Oryctolagus cuniculus: one gene and its partners. The protein of the gene in region 1 purifies or fractionates together with the protein of each later gene. This does not show direct contact. Links are inferred from orthologs where the notes say so. Each region holds a gene or a part of one and is shown on either strand. Other genes may lie near its edges. The genes, in order: JOSD2, AHCYL2 and AHCYL1.

Evidence for each region.
Region 2: the proteins of JOSD2 (region 1) and AHCYL2 purify together in Homo sapiens (affinity purification with mass spectrometry; 3 studies listed by BioGRID and IntAct, counting the BioPlex papers as one, with this or other methods). This does not show direct contact. The link is inferred for Oryctolagus cuniculus from reciprocal best matches to the Homo sapiens genes JOSD2 and AHCYL2.
Region 3: the proteins of JOSD2 (region 1) and AHCYL1 purify together in Homo sapiens (affinity purification with mass spectrometry; 4 studies listed by BioGRID and IntAct, counting the BioPlex papers as one, with this or other methods). This does not show direct contact. The link is inferred for Oryctolagus cuniculus from reciprocal best matches to the Homo sapiens genes JOSD2 and AHCYL1.

The regions. Positions count from the first base shown.
Region 1 is NC_091449.1:7,410,330-7,414,485, forward strand, and holds JOSD2 (josephin-2), read left to right. Parts: upstream 1-1,285; 5' UTR 1,286-1,655; intron 1,656-1,868; 5' UTR 1,869-2,085; coding exon 2,086-2,231; intron 2,232-3,143; coding exon 3,144-3,269; intron 3,270-3,545; coding exon 3,546-3,740; intron 3,741-3,827; coding exon 3,828-3,927; 3' UTR 3,928-4,103; downstream 4,104-4,156. Other genes in the region: ASPDH (aspartate dehydrogenase domain-containing protein), read left to right, coding at 5-154, 235-458, 532-686, 987-1,030. UniProt on the Homo sapiens protein: Cleaves 'Lys-63'-linked poly-ubiquitin chains, and with lesser efficiency 'Lys-48'-linked poly-ubiquitin chains (in vitro). May act as a deubiquitinating enzyme.
Region 2 is NC_091434.1:165,629,163-165,632,803, forward strand, and holds part of AHCYL2 (adenosylhomocysteinase 3), read left to right. Parts: intron 1-1,536; coding exon 1,537-1,657; coding exon of another isoform or gene 1,658-1,661; intron 1,662-2,024; coding exon 2,025-2,031; 3' UTR 2,032-3,641. UniProt on the Homo sapiens protein: May regulate the electrogenic sodium/bicarbonate cotransporter SLC4A4 activity and Mg(2+)-sensitivity. On the contrary of its homolog AHCYL1, does not regulate ITPR1 sensitivity to inositol 1,4,5-trisphosphate.
Region 3 is NC_091438.1:60,314,562-60,318,202, reverse strand, and holds part of AHCYL1 (S-adenosylhomocysteine hydrolase-like protein 1), read left to right. Parts: intron 1-2,586; coding exon 2,587-2,698; intron 2,699-3,641. UniProt on the Homo sapiens protein: Multifaceted cellular regulator which coordinates several essential cellular functions including regulation of epithelial HCO3(-) and fluid secretion, mRNA processing and DNA replication.

The DNA of each region.
Region 1 (4,156 bases):
CCAGGTGGGGTCACCCTCGGCGCTGGCTGACCCGACCACCGAGCGGCAGCTCCGGGAGGCCTCGCAGCGCTGGAACCACGCTGTGTTTGTGGCTCGAGGGGCCCTGTGGGGCGCTGAGGACATCATGAGGTTGGACGCGGCCGGAGGCCTCCAGGTGAGGGACCCGCTGGGCTCCCCGGGGCCGGAGGGGGCCTGCAGGACCCCAGCCCCTCTGACCTCGGCCCCCGCTCCCAGAGCCTCCGCGTCACTATGGCCACGCACCCGGATGGCTTCCGGCTCGAGGGACCCCTGGCTGCCGCAGCCCACAGCACTGGGCCTCGCACGGTCCTCTACGAAGGCCCCGTCCGTGGACTCTGCCCCTTTGCCCCGCGTAACTCCAACACCATGGCGGCCGCTGCGCTGGCTGCCCCCAGCCTGGGTTTCGACGGCGTGATCGGGGTGCTGGTGGCCGATCTCAGGTGAGCGGAGCTGAGCGGGGAGGGGTCGCGCGGGCTGCAGGCCCCCACACTGACCCCCCCCCGCCTCCTGCAGCCTCGCGGACATGCACGTCGTGGACGTGGAGCTGCGCGGACCCCCGGGGCCCACGGGCCGGCGCTTTGCCGTGCACACCCACAGAGAGAACCCTGCAGAGCCGGGCGCCGTCACGGGCTCGGCCACCGTCGCGGCTTTCTGGCGCAGCCTCCTGGGTGCGGCCGGCCCCTGGAGCGGGGTCCCGAGATCCGGGGGCCGGGGGTCTGGGGGCGGGGTCCGGGGGGCGGGACCGGGGTCTGGGGGCGGGGCCCGGGGATCCAGGGGGCGGGGTCCGGGGGTCCGGGGGCAGGGGCCCGGGGCCAGGGTCTGGGGGGCGGAGGGCCGGGGGACCGGAGGCCGGGGGGCCTGGGTCCGCCTGGCCCGACGTCCATTACTTCCGAGCCCCCCAGCCTTCTCGCTCCGCGACTGCCCCGTGCCCCCGCGGGGGTCCGGCTCAGCTCCTGTCTCCCCCGCAGGCTGCCGCCAGCTGCCCCCCGGGCCCGGAATCCACCTCTGCTGAGAAGCCTCCGCCCACCCGGCCGGCCCCTCGGTGGGCGGACCCTCCCCGCCCCCGCCCTCCCCGGCCGGCCCCTCGGCGGGCGGACCCTCCCCGCCTCCGCCCCACCCCCGGCCAGGCCCCGGCCCCCCTTTCCCGGGATGTCCCTCCAGTCTCAGTAAAGACCCGAGGCTCCTCCCCCACCATCCCGGCCTTCTTTCCCTTCCGTGACGTCACGCCGCGTCCGCACTCCGCGTGTGACGCCACTGCAATGGGCGGGCACAGGCCCGGAAGCTATCGCGAGAACCTACCCGCTGCGTTTCCCAGGAGCTTCCGAGCGGCCGTGGGCGCGGTCGCAGCCAGGGGGCGGGCGCGGGGCGCATTTCCGGGATTTGCACCCCCTCCTCCCCCGACCCACGGAAGTTATAGTCGCGCGCCCTGGAGGGGCGACGGCGGACTTCCGGGTTAAGCGGCCCTGCCCGCTGGGGCCGCCGGGAGTTGTAGTCCACTTTGCTGGTGTCGCTGGGAGCTGTAGTCCGTCCCGCCTGCCCCGTCAGCGCGGAACTGCTCGTGCCGCGCTCGGAGCCCAGCGCCGCCGTCCGAGGGGATGCGGGAGCCCCCGGCTCCGGGGAGCAGAGAGGCCGACGGGGTGAGGGGCGTCGCCAGGCGCAGGGGACCTGGGCACCGCGCTGCTTTTCCTGTTGTCCGGGGAGGGGGCTGGTTGCCAGGGGAAGGCGGGCTCTGGTGTTGCTAGGCGACCGGTAGAGACCCCTCCCCCGTCACCCAGAGGCAGGGGAGGAGACTTCCGGTTTCGCTGGGTAATCAGAGACTTTGTTGTCGGGGGGGGGTCCTCCGTTGCTAGGTAACCAGCGGGGGTCCCGTTGCCCAGGGCCGCGGAGGGCTGCGTCTCCGTCGCCAGCCCCGGATGCCAGGGAGCCTTGTCCCTGGAGAGCCAGGGCGCGGGGGTCCCGTGTCGTCCCCGGCTGCCCAGGCCCTGCCCTCCATGGAGGAAGCCGCCCCCAGGCCCTGGGCCCCTGAGCGGCCTCTGCGCCCCCTCCGCAGGAGGAGCCCAGGACGGCATGTCCCAGGCCCCGGGAGCTCGGCCGCGCCCGCCCTCCGTGTACCACGAGCGGCAGCGCCTGGAGCTGTGCGCCGTGCACGCCCTCAACAACGTCCTGCAGCAGCGGCTCTTCAGCCAGGAGGCTGCCGACGACATCTGTAAGAGGTGACCGCCACCGCCCGGCCCGCCGCCTCCTACCTGGGCCTCCGCCGGTGCAGCCTCCACACAACCCCGGAGCCAGCCTGCTGCCCGTCCCCCTGGCGCCCCGGGCCCTGGGCCTCCCGCACTGTGCTGCCCCCGGGCCTTTGCACGGGCAGTTAGTTCTCTCTGCCGGGCGTGGCTGCCCTCACCGGCCCAGACTTCAGACTTCACGCCTGCATCGCGTCTGCACTGCCTGCTGTCCCTCCCAGCCACCGGCTCAGGCCTGGCCCTGGTCCACCGGCCTCCCCCTGACCCCACCCGTGCACCCCAGAAGTGGCCCTGCCTGTCTCTCCCCACTGCCCGCCTTGCGCCGCTGACCCACAGCCCCCGAGGGATCTGTGCGGGAGGTGGGGGCGGGAGGTGGGCTGTCCCCTCCCACCTGCCCCCCAGGGCCTGCTGGGGACAAAGCTGGATGAGGCTGGGCCCAGAGACATGGGGTGGGGGTGCAGGGTGGCCCTGGGCCTGGAGCATAGGCTGGGAGGTGGAGCCAGCAGGGAGCAGACCACGCAGGGCTGTGGGCGCTGGGCGAGCAGGAGGGACGGGGTCGATGGGGGGGCGGGGCGGGGGCAGGGTCCTCCCAGAGACAAGTGGGGCCAGTGGCGGCCATCCAGGCGGTCCCAGGCACTGAAGGGCCGGGCCTGGGGGTCAGCGGGCATCTCCAGGGAGGCGACGCCTTGGGTGGGCTTGCAGGACAGAGGAGGGGGATGGTGATGGCGAGAGGGGCCGAGGGGCTCTGTGCAGGGCAGGGTCGGGGTTCAGAGGTGCAGGTCTTGGGGGGCATTGAAGACAAGGATGAGTCGAGGACGAGGGGCCCTTCCTGCGGTGTGGGAAGAGAGGGGGTCCCCGCCTCCACCCCGACTCTCGCCCGCCCCCCAGGCTGGCCCCAGACTCCCGGCTGAACCCACACCGCAGCTTCCTGGGCACCGGCAGCTATGACGTCAACGTCATCATGGCCGCCCTGCAGGGCCTGGGCCTGGCCGCCGTGTGGTGGGACAGGAGGAGGTAGGGCCCCGGGCGCCGCGTGGCCACGGGGTGAGCTAGAGGGCCCACTCACGGGCAGTCTGGGCAGGAGCAGGTGGGCTGGCGGCAGTGGGGAGGACACGGGTGGGTGGGTGGGTGAGGGAGGAGCGGGGGGGGCAGGGGGGGTGGAGGGAGGTGCGGATGGGCGGCGGCTGTGCTGGAGACTGGACAGGCCTGGATCTGGTGGGCGGGCGAGGGAGGGGGTGGGGGCGGGCGGCAGGGCCGGCGACCGAGTCCCCTCGTCCCCTCCGCCCGCAGGCCGCTGTCCCAGCTGGCCCTGCCTCAGGTGCTGGGGCTGATCCTGAACCTGCCCTCCCCCGTCTCGCTGGGGCTGCTGTCCCTGCCGCTGCGCCGGCGGCACTGGGTGGCCCTGCGCCAGGTGGACGGCGTCTACTACAACCTGGACTCCAAGCTGCGGGCGCCCGAGGCCCTGGGGGACGAGGACGGCGTCAGGTGAGCGGGGGCAGGGCCCCCACCGCCCACCCCACCCCCACCCCCACGCGGCTGCCTGGGCTCAGCCTCCCCCTTTCTCCCACCCAGGGCCTTCCTGGCCGCGGCGCTGGCCCAGGGCCTGTGCGAGGTGCTGCTGGTGGTGACCAAGGAGGTGGAGGAGAAGGGCTGCTGGCTGCGGACGGACTGACCGCCGCCGCCGCCTGTCCGCCTGCTGCCTGCCCGCCGGGGTCCCTGCCAGGCCTCGCGGGCGCCAAGTGCCGGGGAAGGGCCTGGGGCCTCGTGGGCCGGGAGGAGGCCCCGCCCCTTCCCCACTCCCCCGCCCCCCAAGCCGCTGCTGCCTCAATAAATCTGTGATTTGCTGCTGGTCTGGCCACGCCCCTCTGCTCGCTGGGGGTGCAGCAGGAAGCCCCCAGGCT
Region 2 (3,641 bases), on another chromosome or scaffold:
CCCGCTACGCCACAGCCCCAGCCCCCCCCTTTAACTTTTAATAGTCACTTTGAAAGACTATAAAAGAAATAGAACAGTCCATATCTTTTTTTTTTAAGAGAGGGAGAGCTTGAGCTCCCATTTGTTGGTTCACTCCCCAAATGCCCACTATAGCCAAGGCTGGGCCCTCCTGAAGCCAGGAACTGGGAACTCAATCCAGGTCACCCACGTGGGTGACATGGACCCAATTACTTAACTCTCACGACTGCACCTCAGGGTCTGCATTAACAGGAAGCTGGAGTCAGGAGCAGGAGATGGGTATTGAACCCAGGCATTCCAGTATGGGATGCCGGTATCTCCAGTGGCATCTTAACTGCTAAGCCAAATGCCTGCCCCCTTATGTTATCTCTAATTCTGTTTTTCCACAAACTTTTTAAAGGAAATGACATAAAATCATAATCAAGTGTAGTGTATTCAGGTAATAAAATATACACAGAAACAGAACTAAGAGTACTAAAAACAAATAGCGTAGTATCCTTATTATTTATCTCTTCCAGTTCCCCCAGCTGTTAGTTTTGCTGAACGACCTAAAATGCAGAGTTCTGCTTCTGTCGCGTTCTTTCTGATAGACCTAGTGCTTCTCTCTCCCTCACTTTTCTGAGGAGCAGGAAAGGATCAAGGCTGAGAGTTAGTAAGCAACAGATGTTGTTTTGGAGCTGCCTTGTAGTGCAGAGGGTTACGCCCCGGCCTGTGAGGCCTGTATCCCATGTGAGCACTGGTTTGAGCCCTGGCTGCTCCACTTACAATCCAGCTCCCTGCCAATGTGCCTGGGATAGAAGCAGAAGATGGCCCAAGTGCTTGGGCCCCTGCCCTCCACAGGAGAGACCCAGATTGAGTTCCAGGCTCTTGGCTTCAGCCAGGGCTTGCAGCCATCTGGGGAGTGAACAAATGGATGGAAGATCCTTCTCTGTCTCTCTCTCTCTCTCTCTGTTATTCTGCCACCTAAGTCTTTTTTATTTTATTATTTTTTTAAGGCATGAAGTATAAAAGTGAAAGCAAACATTCCTAAGAATTGCGGGCCAAGGGTGAGCATTTGGCCTGTCAGTTAAGATGCAGGCTTTCAAGCCAGTGTCCCATACTGGAGTGCCTGGGTTCAGTACGGTCTCTGTCTCCTGACTCCATCTTCCCACCAATGCCCACCTTGAGAGACTACAGTGATGGCTCAAGGAATAGGGTTCCTGCCACCCTCATGGGAGACCTGGATGGAGTTCCCAGCTCCTGGCTTTGGCCCAGAGCAGTCTCTGCCATTGTGGGCATCTGGGGAAGTCAACCAAATGGGAGCTTGCTTACTCTGTCTTCCTGCCTCTCAAATGAAAAGAAGGGAGGGGAGAAGGGAGGGAGAAAGGGAAGAATTGAAGGCCAGTGAGCAAATGTTGAGCATATTTCATTCAGCTTCAGGAATTTAAAGGTATCCACCAATGTTTTAAGGCCTAGCTTGGGGAGACTAGCCAAATAGTAGGCGTGGAAGCTCATGCAGGGCTCTGTGATCTGTTCCAGATGAGTATGTGGCAAGCCTGCACCTGCCCACTTTTGATGCCCACCTGACGGAGCTGACAGATGAACAGGCCAAGTATCTTGGACTCAACAAGAATGGGCCCTTCAAGCCTAATTACTACAGGTGACTGGGCCCCCCAGAAACCAGGAGAGCCTAGACAGTGAAGAGCTCCCACTCAGGAGTGGATCTTTTTCTCCCCTCCATGTACATTTACATCAACTCAGACAAGTAAACCCAATCCTCCTCATTGCTCCCCGCCCCCACCCTCCCAGCCCCCATGAAGGACTCTTTGGAGCCTCCTGCAAACAATAGCGTTCTCCTCCCAAAGAAATACTGGCCTTTTTCACTGATGGGAAAGAGCCACACTTGTCTCCCCTCAGCATGCTCTCCAGAAAAGTCCCTGCCTCCCCATTAGACCTTTAGGCTCTTCACGGCCCAGCAGCCCCGCTAGCGGATAGTGTCACAGTCTCATCTTTCTTTTTCCTTCCAGGTATTAAGTTCCTGTAACTCAAGCCAGAAGAAGTTTTAAGGAATCGAAGAACTCCAAGCCTTTTCTCCACTACTACACAAGAAAGAATCCAGCAAGCTGCTTCTCCGATCAGAGCTTCCCGCCGTGCTCACCTTATGTGTTAGGTTATTTATTTATTAAAATCTAGAATCCTGTGCCTGTAGCCTTGGCCCAGAGTGTGGTTACTGCCCCCAGGGCCATGAAAGCTGCACAAGACAGGCTGAGGAAGGAAAGAAATGGGGTGAGGTTCCTAGTGCATCATTCCCATCCCCCCACCCCCATTGACTCAGAATCCTCAGCAATGGCCATTTTTCCTCGTGTCCAGGCTCAGGAGTTAGTCCAGGGATTCCAGACTCCTTGTTCCCTGGGGTTTTCTGGAATGCATTTTCAGCAGCTGCCTTTCTCAGCTTTGACCCTTCCCCAGGTGAAACCTTTTGGAAGCCACTAAATGAACACAGCCTGGGTTCCTAGCCTTGACCGTCGCTGTCACTGCCTTCTTTATAGCAAGGCTAGTAAGGAGGGAGTGTATGACTTTGACAAGCTCTACCAAGAACTCACCTCTGCCCGTGCCTGCTTGGGGTCTGCTTCCTTATCTCAGATTCCTTTCCTCTCCTTGAACACTGACTTTCATTTTAATGCTTTCTTGTTCTAAGAGCGATGTGCCTCCAGTATTTACTCAACAGCTCTGGTGTCCAGCAGACATTTCTAACCCCACCAACCTCTGCTCAGGAAGTGGGGCCAGCGCCACTGGGAACCATAGGTTACTTCCTTGTCAATTCACTGCGGTTTCCCAGGAAGCTCCCTTCTCTGCAGCTCAACTGGCTGAGGGACACAGAGATGACACTAACCTGTTTCCAGATGATCAAAGCTAATTGGAGCCTCATCAGACAGTCATCTCTTTGACCATTGCCATTGATAAAGCAGAGATCTGTAGTTTGAGCCTGCATCTGCAGTCTTTCTTCTCTGCCGTATCTTTTATAATCTGAACTATTCCATATAAAGATTATGAATTTCAGAGGTAGTTTCCTGAGTAACTCTAGCATTTAAAAAAAAAATCAGGAGAGCAGCATGAAATGTTATGTTCCACTCCAAGAGTTAGATTCCTTTTGGAGGTGGACCTGCTGGTCCACAAAGGCTCCACTGGAGTGGCCCTTAGAATCTTGAATTAAATAAGTCCCTCTCCCCTCCACCATCTCCATTTAACACTCTCATGTTTGCTGGTTCTCCCCCTCGCCTTGCTTTTTTTCCCCTAAGCTGATCTGCCTCAACGTCTCAAGACCAAGGAGACTGAAGGAAACCCCAGCTCACCCAGGATCACCATTGCCTCCCCTTCCAGACTCCCTCCCATACCTCCACCCTCTCCGCCGTCCCCTAGTCTTCACACAGACTCTCAGAGCTCGTCTGGAAGTGACCTTACTTCTGGAGGTAGGGAGGTGGTACTTGGTTAAACGGCTGTTTGCCTTGGTGTGTATCTCACAGGCTCAACCCTGAGAGCCTGGCTCTTCAGTGGCCGCGTGCCTCAGAAGTATGGGAGACAGGCCACACACCTGGCTATATCCTTTCTTTATGAGGAAGATCATAAATGCTGAAAATTCTGCC
Region 3 (3,641 bases), on another chromosome or scaffold:
CACACTGCTGTCTGGCCACAGTTGCCTGCCTCATGTGTGCACACTCTCTTTCTCTTTCCGCCCTCCTCTCTTATCTAAAAAACTGTAAATGGTACTGCAGTTCCCTCCCTTCACTTCCCATAAGTGGTGTTAGGGAACACGCCCAGAACCTTCTGGAAAAAGATGAGCAGGGAAGGGAATCCTAACAGCCGTGAGAGGAGAGCAGTTGCTGAACAGACTGCCCTGGCCAGCAGCTGGGAAGCCTGTGGAGGAAGGGCCATTTCTGGACAGTGTGAAAGGGCAGGGATGGTGTCCTGCCCATGCGTTTCTTCTGTCTCCAAAATAGCTGTGGGTTGTGTTGAGAGTCATTGCCTTGGTCCTGGTTGAATCTCTTCAGTAAGACACTCTGCTGACTGCAGAAGGCATGCCAGCGTGCAGTGGGAAATCCTGGCCTGTGACCACTTCAGGGACTTGGGTTTTTTGAAAGACAGTTGCACTTTTGATGTTTAAGCTACTGAAAATTAAAAGTTTCAGTGCCAAACTTAAAAAGCTACTTTGGTTGTACAAAGATCCTTATTGATCGAGTTCTGATGTAGCTGTGTGTGGCTTAGCTTGTATGTTTATTATCTGTTTGAAGCTTGATCTGGTCTTACAGAAAGGGTTTCAAAAGGTTCACATATTCTACAGGTGTGTATTGAATGCCTTCTTACGTGTATGAGCCTGGGCTGGATGTCAGGGTTTTGTATGTCCTTTCCTTAAACATGTTGTGGACTCTGCGCCCTCCTTCATTCACAGAGTTGCCTAAAGTAAAACACTTGCCCCATCCGACGTTGAATCGAGAGGCATTTTTAATGGAAGCACACCCAGGTTTGTCCTCCCAGGCCTGCTGCTCAGTGGTGGTATCCGTGTGGCTGTTACCCAGTGACTGTCCTCTGCCTGGGTTCTTGGGGTATACCATACCAGACAGAAAGGTGAAAGCGCAAGTCTGTGTTCTCTTTTTTTTTTTTTTTTTTTTTTTTGACAGGCAGAGTGGACAGTGAGAGAGAGAGACAGAAAGGTCTTCCTTTGCCGTTGGTTCACCCTCCAATGGCCGCCGCGGCCGGCGCGCTGCGGCCGGCACACCGCGCTGATCCGATGGCAGGAGCCAGGAGCCAGGTGCTTTTCCTGGTCTCCCATGGGGTGCAGGGCCCAAGCACCTGGGCCATCCTCCACTGCACTCCCTGGCCACAGCAGAGAGCTGGCCTGGAAGAGGGGCAACCGGGACAGAATCCGGCGCCCCGACCGGGACTAGAACCCGGTGTGCCGGCGCCGCTAGGCGGAGGATTAGCCTAGTGAGCCGCGGCGCCGGCGCCTGTGTCCTCTTGATTACTGCTTCCTTACCTGTGCACCAAGGTTTCAGTTTGTTCTCAGCTGCCTGTGCCTAGGCTGTGCTCGTGGGCCTGACTCTTCCACTGCAGGCTGATGGGTCCCTATCTGGAGGGTACACTGACAGAAGGAGGGTTTTGCGGCTAACGAAAGGGTTGTTTACTGTTCCTTCCTTGGAAGTGCTGTGAACGTGCTGCTGGCACTGCGCAGAGATTTTAATCTGTAATCGTTTATATTTCCTGAGACAGTTGCTAGACCTGGCTTAATGGAGTCTCCATGGCAACCTTTAGATTTAGTCGGATATTGAGGAGAATCTCAGTTTAGATTCTCAAACCATCCTATTCATTTTGGTGAAATTTATTTCAAAGTTTATTTTGTATTTATCAGAACTTAAACAGGCATTCAGAAGGAAGATTTAAAACATGTAATGGAAGTATTTTCATATACTTTATTAACACCTATTAATTTATCTTCAAATAATATTAATTGCAAGCTATTTGCTGTTTATTAAAGCCAAACTTCCAAGTATCCCTCCAACAATTATCTAGTTCTGGTTTATTTCATTTAAGAAATTTTTTTGTACAGTTTATCATGCCATTATTTCTCTCCTTCCCTCAAATAAGGCCTAATTAGCTAGAATATGGTATGTATGTCTTTTAATTTCTTATTCATCAGCACATTCTGGTATTTTAATTTTTTACTGGGTACAGAAGGTTCTGGAGATACTAAATTGTTTGTCTGAAGTATGGACATATGGTTGGACTCTGAGTATTGGCATCCTGACGCCTATCACTATTTCTAGACATCTCTTCATAATCCTTTCAAAAAGCAAGACCATTGCCAACTTTAGCTACAAGAGAATATTCTTGGGGGGCAGGGGGGGCAGAGCTACCATAAAATTATATCTAGTCTTTGGTAAAGTTAGGAGAAGCATAAATGGATCAAAATTAGAGAAAAAAAATTAATGGAAAGTAAGAGTTATTTTTCAAATTAGACAAATGCTAAAAGAAATTTGATCTTAAGTCAACCCTCTCCACTGAAATCCTGCTGAAACAATTGAGATGGGAAAAGTAGTTGGTCTACAGGGTCAGAGAGCTGCCTCCCCCCATCCTTGGTAGGCAAGTTGCTGGTTTAGTAGTAGTTGTGTGATGTGTTGGCTTTTAGGGAAGATATTGTAAGGCCTTTAAAAGTACATAGACTCCCCTTGTTGTATGTTTTCAACTTTTTGTCTTTCTCCTGTAGCAAATCCAGTTTGCTGATGACATGCAGGAGTTCACCAAATTCCCTACCAAGACTGGCCGGAGATCTTTGTCTCGCTCCATCTCCCAGTCCTCTACTGACAGCTACAGCTCAGGTAGGCGTGAGTTCCCATCCTCCGATCTCTCCTACCTGTTCACTACCCAGTGCTCTTATCCAGGATCTAAAAGCACCCCACGTCAGGACTGCCCAGGTGCTGAAAGCTATTGGTGTGCTCGGACAGCTTCCCTGACTGTCTCAGTGTGTAGTCTGTGAACAGTGCCCAGTTGGTTACACTGGGCCAGTTCCCATTCCCATATGTATGCCATCCATGTTCCAGAGTGGCTGACAGAACTGGCCTTGAAAAGGAAGTATAGGAGCCAGTGCTGTGGCACAGCAGGTTAAGATGCTGTCTGCATCTCATATGGGTGCCAGTTCGCGTCCTGGCTGCTCCACCTTCTTTCCATCCAGCTCCCTGCTAATGTACCGGGGAAAGCAGTGGACAATGGCCCAAGTGCTTGGACTCCTGCGCCCATGTGGGAGACCCACATGAAGCTCTTGGCATCTGGCTTCGACCTGGCCCAGCCCTGGTCAATGTAGTCAAGAGGAGTGAACCAGTGAATGGAAGATCTCTCTTTCTCTGCCTTTCCCTGTCTCTCTGTGGAACTCTGCCTTTCAAAGTAAATCTTTAAAAAAAAAATAAGAAGAAGAAAAGGAAGTATACTAGGAAGCTTGATTTCTTGGTAAAAGTACACCCTACCATCTGTCTTTCTCTTTCTTGTCCACAAAATTGCTTGAATTGTAACAATAAATACTGGTACTTTGCCTTCTTTTATTTGCTTAGTTACTTGTTATGTTGAAGTATCCCCTTCTGTTAATCCGTGATGTGGGAAAGATACAAACCACCATAAGTAATGAGACCTCAGCCCCGCTTCTTCTTTTTAGTTCCCCTCCCGTCTTGCCTGTCTGTAAGTAAAGTTACGTCTGGTTTGAGCTGTGCCTTTGGCAACCATAGAGGGCATGTTAGAAAATGAATGTGGAAGAGGATACAGAACTTTGGG